Linked DNA regions of Drosophila melanogaster. The protein of the gene in region 3 interacts with the protein of the main gene of each other region in a pairwise test. Each region holds a gene or a part of one and is shown on either strand. Other genes may lie near its edges.

Region 1 (3,356 bases), on a different chromosome or scaffold from region 3:
TATAAAAACCCCTTCCTGGTTGACTTGCACATGCAAGCAGTATGCTTTTCTACGCTTTTCGGCAATCATGTCCATTGTCATGCTCGAAATGTATGAATGCTTGAAAAAATATGATTTACATATCTAGAAGTTCTCTGATAACTTCAATCTATGCAACTGCTCAAGTGGATGATTGGCATGCCCTGTGCGATAATGACGGCAACTGCTCAACTATAAATTCCAGCCCTCAGTCCATTCAGCACTTTCTGCAATTGAAATGCAGTTGCAGCCAGCCGACTCATTCATCAGAAATGTGCACTTAACACATGGCAAAAGCAGCCTCGACTTTCCCGAGGCAGCATTGAGCATTGCCGCCTCATTCTTTGGTAATGCACATAAATCCTTAGAGTGCGCACTTAACTCCTTTTTATGCTGCGACAAAGTACATTTACTAATGACCAAGTCAAACAATGGCCACGGCCAAGACGCAGCGGGCGAAATGCGAGTCCTGGCAGTCCTGGCGGTCCTGTAGGTCCTGCCAGTAGACTGGCGGGAAGTGGGTATGTCGTGACTTCAGCGGGGAGCAGGAGGATTGGCCCACGAAGTAGCAATTTACGCGCTCAAGACGGCGGCAAGCGGCAAGATGGTGACAAAGCATGCAAAACGGAACAGCAGTTGTTGCCCCAAAGTGATGGAGAGGGGGGAGGGAAGGGAAATTGTGAGAAGGCTTGGGAAAATGCAGAGGAAAACTATGGAGGGGGATCTGCACGTGGAGGAGCACTGAGCTCCAAGTGTCGGCAGCGGCTGCATGTTAATTGCTGCAGCGACGACAGCAACAACTGCAAACAGTGGGAAAGCGTGTCTAAATAGCGTAAATTCACACAGACACACACCTTCACGCAGGCAAGGGGAAAATCTAGCTGCGTATTGTGTGTGGAAATTGAAAAGCGAGCTGGAAATCTGCCAGGAAGTGCAGGACATCTTACACACCCTATTTGATATATAAATTATGGCTGATTAGCAGCGGCTGTTGGCATTGTTTTAATTGGTTTACCTGGTGATTAATCTCAAATGGCGAAAGGAACTTTGAAAGTGATTTATTTTTAAGGCAGGTTACAGTATCCTGTACAATTTCATAGACTTGGGTACATTTTTTAGTTGACTATAAACTATTCGTTGCAAGTTCATCAACTGGTTACCGTTTATGTGTAAATCTGATCTGATCTGAAAGTCCTTGGGATTCATAGGGCGATGTGCGGAACACTAGGTGTCACTTGTTAGACTGCTAATCCTCGACAGTGTGCGCTCAACGGGATATCAGGCGGAAAAGGACAAAGAGCGCTGCATACGCACAGGCTGAAAATGCAAATTTTCCCTTTGGCTGGCTGGCAGTTTAAAATGTTGATGAAGTAATTAGTTTAATATGCGAAATGCCCCTGATGGGCGGCGGGAGAGGGCGTGGCACATAGGGAAGTGTAATTGAAAATACTCACAGTTCTGGGCTAAAAGGGACAAGGGCACAGTCGGGGCTTGGGCATTGTGAAACTTTTTCCATTTATTAAATTTGCCACACGAACAGCGCAGCGGATTCTGCCAAGGGAACTCTATGTGGGAAATGTTTAATTATTTGTGCGCACATGAAATTAAAGCTGTTACAAATTGTTACAAACCATTCCGGCTATCAGTTTCTCAAACAAATTTCAATTAAGATAAGACTTTTTCACGAGTTTCGAAAATTAGAAGGAATATTTTTTGTGCTCAGCTACTTTCATTCGAAATTGAATATGAGAACAACTCTGCTTCTTCAGGCCCAGCAAAAGTTTTGCCTTTTGAGCCAAAGTTGGCAGTTTGTTGTCAGTAATGTATTTTGCTCGAACTTATTCAAAATATTATACATTTTGATTTACACGAAATCACAGTTTTCTTGCCATTCAGCAGCTTTTCAGTTTTAGTTTTTTGAGTTTCGCGCGGAATGAATCTGATTAACTTTAATCATTACCAGGACTATGTAGACAGCTTCATAACCATCCAGGACACTCGCTATTTGGGCAACAAAGAGATCCAGAGGAACCTGATCCAGAATGCCTGCGGTAAGAATTGCCTGGGTAATCTGCTCACCCGCGAGCAATTCTACCAGCGGAAGGAGAAAGAGTTGGTGCTTCTAAAGCCAAGGGGACTACGAGGACTCCAACTTTTTGGAGACTACTTGAACAACAAAGATGAGGTGCTCCAACAGTTTGCCAATCGAGAGAAGAAGCTGCTCGAAAAGCAAATTTCGGTTAGAAGGTTACATTTATGTGTAGTGAAATGTGTACATTTTGTAATTTTTAGACCGTCGTCTACCTGGTGATGCGTTCGAAGAAGGGTCTAGAGATCTCCAGCTTTCTGGACCTGGAGCAGAGTCTGCGCGAGTCGCGATTCGAGAACTCTACAAGCTGCGTAGACTGGCGGGCCATTTTCGAGGGCAGAACGAAGCTGAGGCCATCGAATCTGCATCTCAGCTACTTCGACTGGCACCAGAATCGTGTGTCCTTCAACAACAGCGACAATTTCCGGGTGTTGAACAAGAGGCCCCACAGTCTGCTGCTAAAGCATGTTGGCGATCACAAAATATTCTGTGTGAACGCCTCCTGCGATTGCGAGCACTCGAAAAATGTCAGCCGCAAAACGTATTTCTCGCCCATTTATGGATATGTCATATTCTTCGACCACATAATCAGGCGCATTAATTAGCGACGGCTTTAAAGTGTCAATGAACGTAATCGTCGTTAAATGAAATGTGCAAATAAATCGAAACGAGGGCGCATTTGTCGCTGACAGCTAACGTAAATTGCTTTTCATATCTTATCAGTACAGTTCTGGTCGCAGTTTTTGATGGACGTTTCGAGGTCCTTCCGCCCGGCGAGTCCTCCGTCCATCAGGCGGCGGAAATTACCCGAGCTTTATGCCACTTTGTTGAGTTTATCGCAGTCAGGGAACATCAATTGCATAAATCTATTAACTGTCGCCCGGCGGAATGGGGGCGTGGTTGAGCCTTCAACTTGACCAATATGTTTCTGTTTGCGCATTTGCCATTGTTTGCCAACTTGCTTGTGTGGGTCAGCTTATGACGCTTTGTTAATTCTCCCAACAGTGTGTCTGTTTAATTGGCCTTTCCACTCATGCAAATCAACTTGGCCAAAATTTACACAAGGCTGAAAGGAGAATTTGCTACGGCTTACACATTGGTGGTTAATGAGTTGAAAATATTAGTAGTCAGTCTTAATAAAAATTATATGAATACAATTAAATCCACTCTGTTGCCCAGATACCATGTTTTTGGAGAAGCAAATTCAAATAAATATTAAATACGCCTAAATTATGATTTAAGTGCCACA
Region 2 (4,337 bases), on a different chromosome or scaffold from region 3:
TTTTTAGTTTAAAGTTAAGATAAGGCATGCAGTATATATTAAGATATATACTTATATGGGTATGTGCATTTGACGTATGCGTTCAGAATTAGTTTAATAAGCCTTCGACTGAAACAAATTATGTATATAATAACAATAAAGTGTATGTACAAAATGTAAGGGCTAACTGCCAACATAGGTTATGTATATATTTAAATTTGTATGTATGTATAAATTGAGACTTAAAATAAATACCGTTTCCTCATACTTATACTGCAAATACTTATAAATCTAATGCAATTTGATTTTTCCATTAAATGTGCACTTATTTTGACTTTATGTATCAGAAAGAGTATCTCAATGCGGTATGTCAACAAATTGTTAATTTTAATCGATAATTACGATTTGAGTACGCTTGCAATCGTTTATTTATTGTGTAGGTTTCATATTTAATTTAAAACAATCCATTCATTTTAAAATACAGTTTTGTGACAAATAAACTTGAATGAAAATTGTTTAATAATAAATAATGATATAGTTATAACATACAGCAAAACGGAAATTAATCAATACAAGTAGATGTAATCTAATAAATTATAGTTAATAGAAAATTTATTTAAATATGTGTAAATCAAACATAAATACTAAAGGCTACTTACTTTCTAAACTGTGTCTTTTAATAACACAATAAAAAAGTATTAAAAAAGGGATGTGTGATATTATTTAAGGAGAATATTGAACGGATTAGCATTTCTAAAATGATTATTTTAAAGTGTACTTAGCCAATTTTCGCAATTTATAATATGATTTGGTATATTTACCAGGCTGAAAGCTTTTAAAGCAGTTCTTCTTCTAGAATGCTGATAGTTTTCTCGAGATTGAAAGCTTTTGTTATTTTTTCTTTAGTGGACGGCGCAGACGCATTAATAGTTTAAACAATAATTAAACGACGAGATTCATTGAGACATTATAATCCATTTTAATAACAATAACAGTGTTTGACAGCATATACATAGTTCTTTGGATTAGGGGTAGAATCAAAGAATTACAATTAGAAAGGTGTTCCAACAAAGGTGTTATGTACATTACGTACGTTTTTAGTATACAGTCGCAATCAAAAAATTAGAAGTGATCCATAAATAATATATTTATATGAATTACATCGTTTTATGAAGGTTAAAACAATTTTGTGTGCGAATAATCATCAGCAAAGAACTATGCAAGTTCTCCATATAAGGTATGTGCTATTCTTTTATATTATTGTACTTCGTGAGCACTTATACATATAAATAAAAATATTTAAAAAAACGCAGTGAATTCAAAACTTGTGTTAATAAGTTTAGCCTGATCACCTTTTAGTCTATATATTTTCTATTATCTTCATAAGATAAGGGTGCAATGAAAATATTTACCACAAATAACGGACAAAGAGTACTCATGGAAATTAGTGCAAACACACAGATGGAGAGTGCAAATAATATAGAGTGGAATTGTGTTATTCTCGGTAGATTCGCAACCCAAAAGTGCAACCAGGTCCACGTCCGTATCAGATCCGCTCACGCACATGCGAATGCGAGAAGGTTGGCCAAATACACGCACACACACTTTCGCAGGAGGGAATGTTTATGGGAGGTAAATAACTGGTTTTTATATAAACACACGGGCACATACACACACACACACGCAGCCACGTGGAGGAGCCGATTTGGAAATGTGCATCCTGCATGCTGAATATCTAGATCCACAACACCACCACACACATACGCAGCCCGCGAAGAGGGACGCGAATGATGGTCAGGACATCAAACCCGTTAAGAGAGCCGAACAGAGCGAATTTCGTGAGCAGGACATGAGTAACAAGTTGTTGCACTGGTGGGTGGTGGGTGCGCGCGCGAGAGAGAGAGAGAGAGAAAGGTGAGAGTGGCGCTTTGCTCCGATTGGTCGAGAAAAAGCGAGAAAAACGTCATGCCGTTCTCTTCGCCGCAAAATCATCGGATCATCTCGGCGGTCGCCGTTCGCCTGTCGCCGTTCGCAGTTCGCAGCTCGCCTTTCGCGGAATCGGATTCACAATCACATCCTTCTGCGAGTTCGAGGAGTGCACACCGGTGGTCGCATCCGCAAAGTCCGCGCTTCGAAACCGCTATCGTAATCGCAATCGCTATCGCCAGCGCAACCAGAAATAGAACCATGGATATCTCCGCCTACCAGCACATGAACATCCGGATGAGCACGCGCGGCAAGCGTCCTCTGAGGAACCTCACGCCCAACGACAAGGTGCGTGCCATCCAGCGCATCCACAATGGTGAAACCAAGGCGAGTGTGTCGCGGGACATCGGAGTGCCGGAGTCCACGCTGCGTGGCTGGTGCAAGAACGAGCAGAAGCTGCGCTTCATGTGCCGCCAGCTGGGCCCCGATCACCTGGGTCTCGACACGCCACCGGAAAAGCGCGCCAAGTTCGAGCTGCAGCTCCAGCTGCCACCGAAGTTCGTGGCACTGCCTCCAAACTACGAGGAGCTGGGCTTCGGTGCACTGCCCTACAGTCCAGCCGATTACCCAGTGCAAAATGAATCCCTGCTGGAGAAGCTTAGCCTTGTGGAATTTGTAAAAAAGAACGGTGGATTGCATCCGGAGGGTGCACTGCATCCGGGTCAGGCCGGCGTGATGGACTACTCCAACAACATGCTGCACCAGCTGAATCTTCTGGCCCTGCTCAACTCCAAACTCACCCCACAGACTGCCGATGTCCTGGTAGATGCACAGCCGAAATCAGAGGACAACAAAGTGATTGATTCGCCCGCTGCTTCCGAGGATTACAGCAAAAACAATTACCCCTTGCTGAGTGTTAAGAACTGGGCCAAGGATCCGGCCAAGCGGGTGAACTCCGCCAATCAGCCGGAGCAAGTGAACGATAAGAACAACAATGCCCTGGAGGCCAACAGTTCCGCACCACAAGCTCTTGTCACGGAGCAGGCGAAGACTCCCATGTTCTCGGACACCACAATGCCCCTACTGCCAGCACCCTTCCCGAATCCTGCGGATCTAGCGCCTGTGATAGCACCAGTGACTCCGGCAAACGCCCCGCCCACTGGAACCGATAACCAGGGAGCGGCTCTGCTCGACTGGTGCAAGCTCTTCAATGCCAGTTTGAACTTCCTGGCCTTCGCTGCGGCCGCAGCCTCCATGCAGCCCGGCGGCGGAGGACCAGGTGGACCCAGCTACAATCCCAACCAAATGGCCAGCGGCGGATCGGAGCCGGATCTCGAAACATATCCTTTCAACGAGGCGCTACTAAAGCGACTGAGTCCACTGGCGCACAGTGAGGCCTCCAACGAAAGCTACTGCGACAGCGAGCCGGAGGATCTGTCCGTGCGCTCCTGCGCCTCCAAGGCGTCCAGCAGATCCCACACTCCCGACAAGAGCGTCGGGTCCAGCGACGCCGAACAGTAGACACCCTACATTATAGCATAGTTGTAGTTGTAGTTCATAGTGTAAATACATCCATTTTTATTGTTATTAGCCACCTTTAGTATTAATGAAACTCGAATCATTTCGCAATGCAAATGCCATTTGTACTTATCAATTAACGTATTAATATCACTGCAACAGGTATTAATAGCTCAGCATACTATAGCTAGTATTAACTAGGAATATCAACTGTGTGACTACTTGTTTGAAAGCCAAATTCAATTCATCTACACGTATTATAACAAATACTAATTGTGTTAAGTAGCTTAATTAGTTGGCACATTTTGTCAGCCATTCCAATCGATTTGTTTTATTACTGTGTAATCTGCGTAACTCTCAAATAAGCATATAAACTAATTACTAATGAAACGAATAAATATTTATTAACAAAACAAAATAAAATTCAAGTGTCAATCTCTCAAGATCAAAACATTTTTTTACTTGATGGGTTTTCAATTACAGCGGTTAGAAAAATGGGTCAATTTTCTACCTATGAAGAAAATGAAAGTCTTACCCGCCAAAAGGCTTATCGAAAAACAGGAATTTTCTATAGAATTAAAGTATTTAATTATAACAAAACTAAATTAATTCATGTGGTTTTTATTTAAAACGTTCGCAAGTTAAATAAAACTTACAGGCATTTGCAAGAAAAACAAATAGTCAACTTTTTACCCATATTTTAAAAATATATTTCATTAAACTAATTTTAAATTCATTATGCAAATTAAACACAAATCGATTGAATCTTTAAGTTGCAAACAAATAAAAACTTGAAAATGCTAATGAATCCTACTTTGAATTTCCATTAGAAGTAAAACTCTTTTACCAAAAAGCGCCTTCATTGGTTTTTTGCCATTTATTTTGTAGGGATAAATATTAAACTTGGCATGCAA
Region 3 (2,926 bases):
TCACAGAGGCAGAGGGCTTTCCGTCGGAGGCCGCCACCACGAGTCATTGAGCCGATTGAATATACAGCCGGAAAACGGGAACCACGCATTGGCGAACCTTGTGTAGCCCTAAGTATTGAGTAGATGGCCACAGGCGATGGCCTCTATGCATTAGACCTAGATTAGAGATCGCCGTAGTCGGCTCCGGTGTTCGGGATACCGAAGACCGATATATCGGTTGCACATCCGCCACGGAGCACATGCGACTACGGCCCTGTCTTAACGTGACTTAAACGTAATTGTAGGCACATCTAGCACGTAAGCAGCTGCGGCGCCCAATTCTACCATTTAAATGTCATGAGGCTGAAGTGCTAAAACGAAAAAGATGGGCTGCTACTCAGCTGGAACATATTCGAAACTGATGATCCACACTTGTCTTTTTCAAACAAGATCTCTAGGCCGTAATCAATCAGCAATAAAGTACCACAATAATCGAATAGTAGATAATAATCGTCGGGATTCCGTCAACGCGTTTCTTTACTCAGCTATTTTGACAAATGCAGGAAAATGCATCATCTCAGTTGTCTAAACTAGTTAAGATTGTTTGTAACAGCTATAACACCTAAAGTTTGCCAGTCTTTTGAGCCATGGCCAGTGCGTTCTCGTGGGCAATAACCTGGAACTCCTGGAAACGCTGCGAGACGCGTTGGTTCATCTTCAGATACTTTTCCATGCAGTTCAGCGAGCACTTCTCCTGTGAAATGGATGGGCATATTGAAATCGCTGATTTCCACATGGAGCTTCCCCACGGGCACTCACCTCGGAATCCTTAACATCCCGCGTTGTAAAGTCGCGTATGCAATCTGTGAAGCACGTCTCGGACAGTTTGTTGTAGGACATTAGGAAGTCGGAAAACTGAAAGTTAGAACCGAAAACATATCAAATGAAAACCACATTGCATCACTTGGCACCGCCGGTCCTTGGCATGAGATGGTATCTTCGTGTCAACTCTGCTTACCGTCTTAATTTGATCCTTGTCCAACTGATCGATGGCTATGTTTTCCGGTGTCTTAGCCATTTTGTTCTGCGATATTTTATTCAAAATTGCCGAAACGAAAAAGGGCCAATAATAATGTGCCTATATAATAGGGACAGCTGGGTGTGCAGGGTTGCCAGATGTTAAAAAGCCATTCCGTGTTCTCGACTTATCGATATGTTATCTTTTGAAGTATGTTATGTGAAGTATCTGGTTCGGCCGACTCAAAAATTAACCACATCTAGTTTTACTCTTAACATCGGGTATATGAAATTAAGCAAATGTATCCATACATAAATTAAGGTATATTTATAATAATACTTTAACTAAGTACCCTTAGGTTGTGAAACATTTAATTTAAACTATTAAATAGAATAAAATGATATTTCAAAGATCGATATTCCTATAAAATATCGATAGTCGCATATCTTATGGTCAGCGCTTTACGGTACTGCACCTCGTTCACTTTTCAACACTGGAGGGCACGCCATCTTTTTTTCCTCACAAACACTTTTTTCTGCTCCTGCTTTGTGGGTGTGCTCTTTGAAAAACCAAGGAGAATTCCCTCGGAATAGCATCAAAACAAACTGGAAAATTGACTTTGGACAAGTCCAGTGGTACAACAAATACCAAAAATCCATTACAGAACCGGAGGAGCAGCACCTCCAGCCACATACATATTCATACATAATGCCACGCTACCGTGAATGGGATTTAGCCTGCAAAGTTTACGTGGGCAATCTGGGATCCTCGGCCTCCAAATACGAGATCGAGAACGCCTTTAGCAAATACGGACCCTTGCGCAACGTCTGGGTGGCCCGCAATCCGCCCGGTTTCGCCTTCGTCGAGTTCGAGGATCGTCGCGACGCTGAGGATGCGACCCGTGGCCTCGACGGCACCCGCTGCTGTGGCACCCGCATCCGTGTCGAAATGTCATCAGGCCGTTCACGAGAGGGTCGCGGCGGTGGCGGTGGAGGCGGCGGTGGTGGAGGCGGATCCGGTGGCGGCGGCCGCGGCGGTGGCAGTGGCGCCCGTGCTGGAGGCGGTGGAAGGGCTGGCGATGGCGGTGGACGCTATAGGTGAGTACGGCACAAAAGCATTACATTTTGCATCCCCAGAATAAACCAGATAAACTAACTAACCAACCAACCAAAGCACCCACTTACTACCACTACCCCTCTCTCGAGATTATGAAATCATAATTTTTGCCATTATGTGCAAAAAAGTATGCAAAAATATATATATAAATAAACATATGTATACATATTTATATAGCGTGTGTGCTTGTGTGTATGTATGCATGTGAAAAATCGATTCGCGTATACATACAAAAGCGGTGCCAGCCAAAATACACACAGTCACACATACGGTGGGACACCACTGTTAGCCATACATAAACACACACAGTGGCGTCCGTGAAAAAGAACAGTCCTACCGCGCGCACACAGTGGCGTCCGTGGCCGACAGTCCTGGTTGCTTTTGCTACGTCAATCGATTCTTTTTAGCTCGTATTTTGTTTTTTAAGGGGAATCTTGTTTTAGTATCACATTTCATTGCTCATTATATGCACCCCGAGGTCCATAGTTTAAAGTTCAAAGAGTATAGCTTTAACTAGAGAAAACGTTTTGTTTGTTGTTTTTAGTAAAATTACAAAATACAAGAAAAATGAAAAGAAAATACAAGAAAACTTAGTAAAAACAAAGTAAATCGATCGCTTGGAGCCAGTTTTAATGTGGTCTCACAATCATTTTGCAGGATAAAGTCTTCTTCTTCTACTACAACAAGCACAACAAGAACTACTACAACAACAACATCAATAATAATAATAATAATGATAATTAAAAGAACAACAAAGAAAAAAGAAAAAACAACAACAGCTACTACTACTAGAACTTCTACTACTCCTCTTCC

What was found.
Region 1: the proteins of Tim9a (region 3) and CG3528 interact in a two-hybrid assay, tested with the Drosophila melanogaster proteins (one large-scale study listed by BioGRID).
Region 2: the proteins of Tim9a (region 3) and danr interact in a two-hybrid assay, tested with the Drosophila melanogaster proteins (one large-scale study listed by BioGRID).

The regions. Positions count from the first base shown.
Region 1 is NT_033779.5:2,516,552-2,519,907, reverse strand, and holds CG3528 (uncharacterized protein), read left to right. Parts: upstream 1-1,870; 5' UTR 1,871-1,951; coding exon 1,952-2,257; intron 2,258-2,310; coding exon 2,311-2,712; 3' UTR 2,713-2,806; downstream 2,807-3,356.
Region 2 is NT_033777.3:25,136,067-25,140,403, forward strand, and holds danr (distal antenna-related), read left to right. Parts: upstream 1-2,005; 5' UTR 2,006-2,166; coding exon 2,167-3,426; 3' UTR 3,427-3,837; downstream 3,838-4,337. UniProt on the Drosophila melanogaster protein: Probable transcription factor with a role in the retinal determination (RD) network. Regulates ato expression and is required for normal R8 induction and differentiation.
Region 3 is NC_004354.4:13,383,468-13,386,393, reverse strand, and holds Tim9a (Tim9a), read right to left. Parts: upstream 1,185-2,926; 5' UTR 1,058-1,184; coding exon 998-1,057; intron 895-997; coding exon 799-894; intron 734-798; coding exon 602-733; 3' UTR 501-601; downstream 1-500. Other genes in the region: Ype (yippee), read left to right, coding at 1-50; Rbp1-like, read left to right, coding at 1,706-2,094, 2,771-2,926. UniProt on the Drosophila melanogaster protein: Mitochondrial intermembrane chaperone that participates in the import and insertion of multi-pass transmembrane proteins into the mitochondrial inner membrane.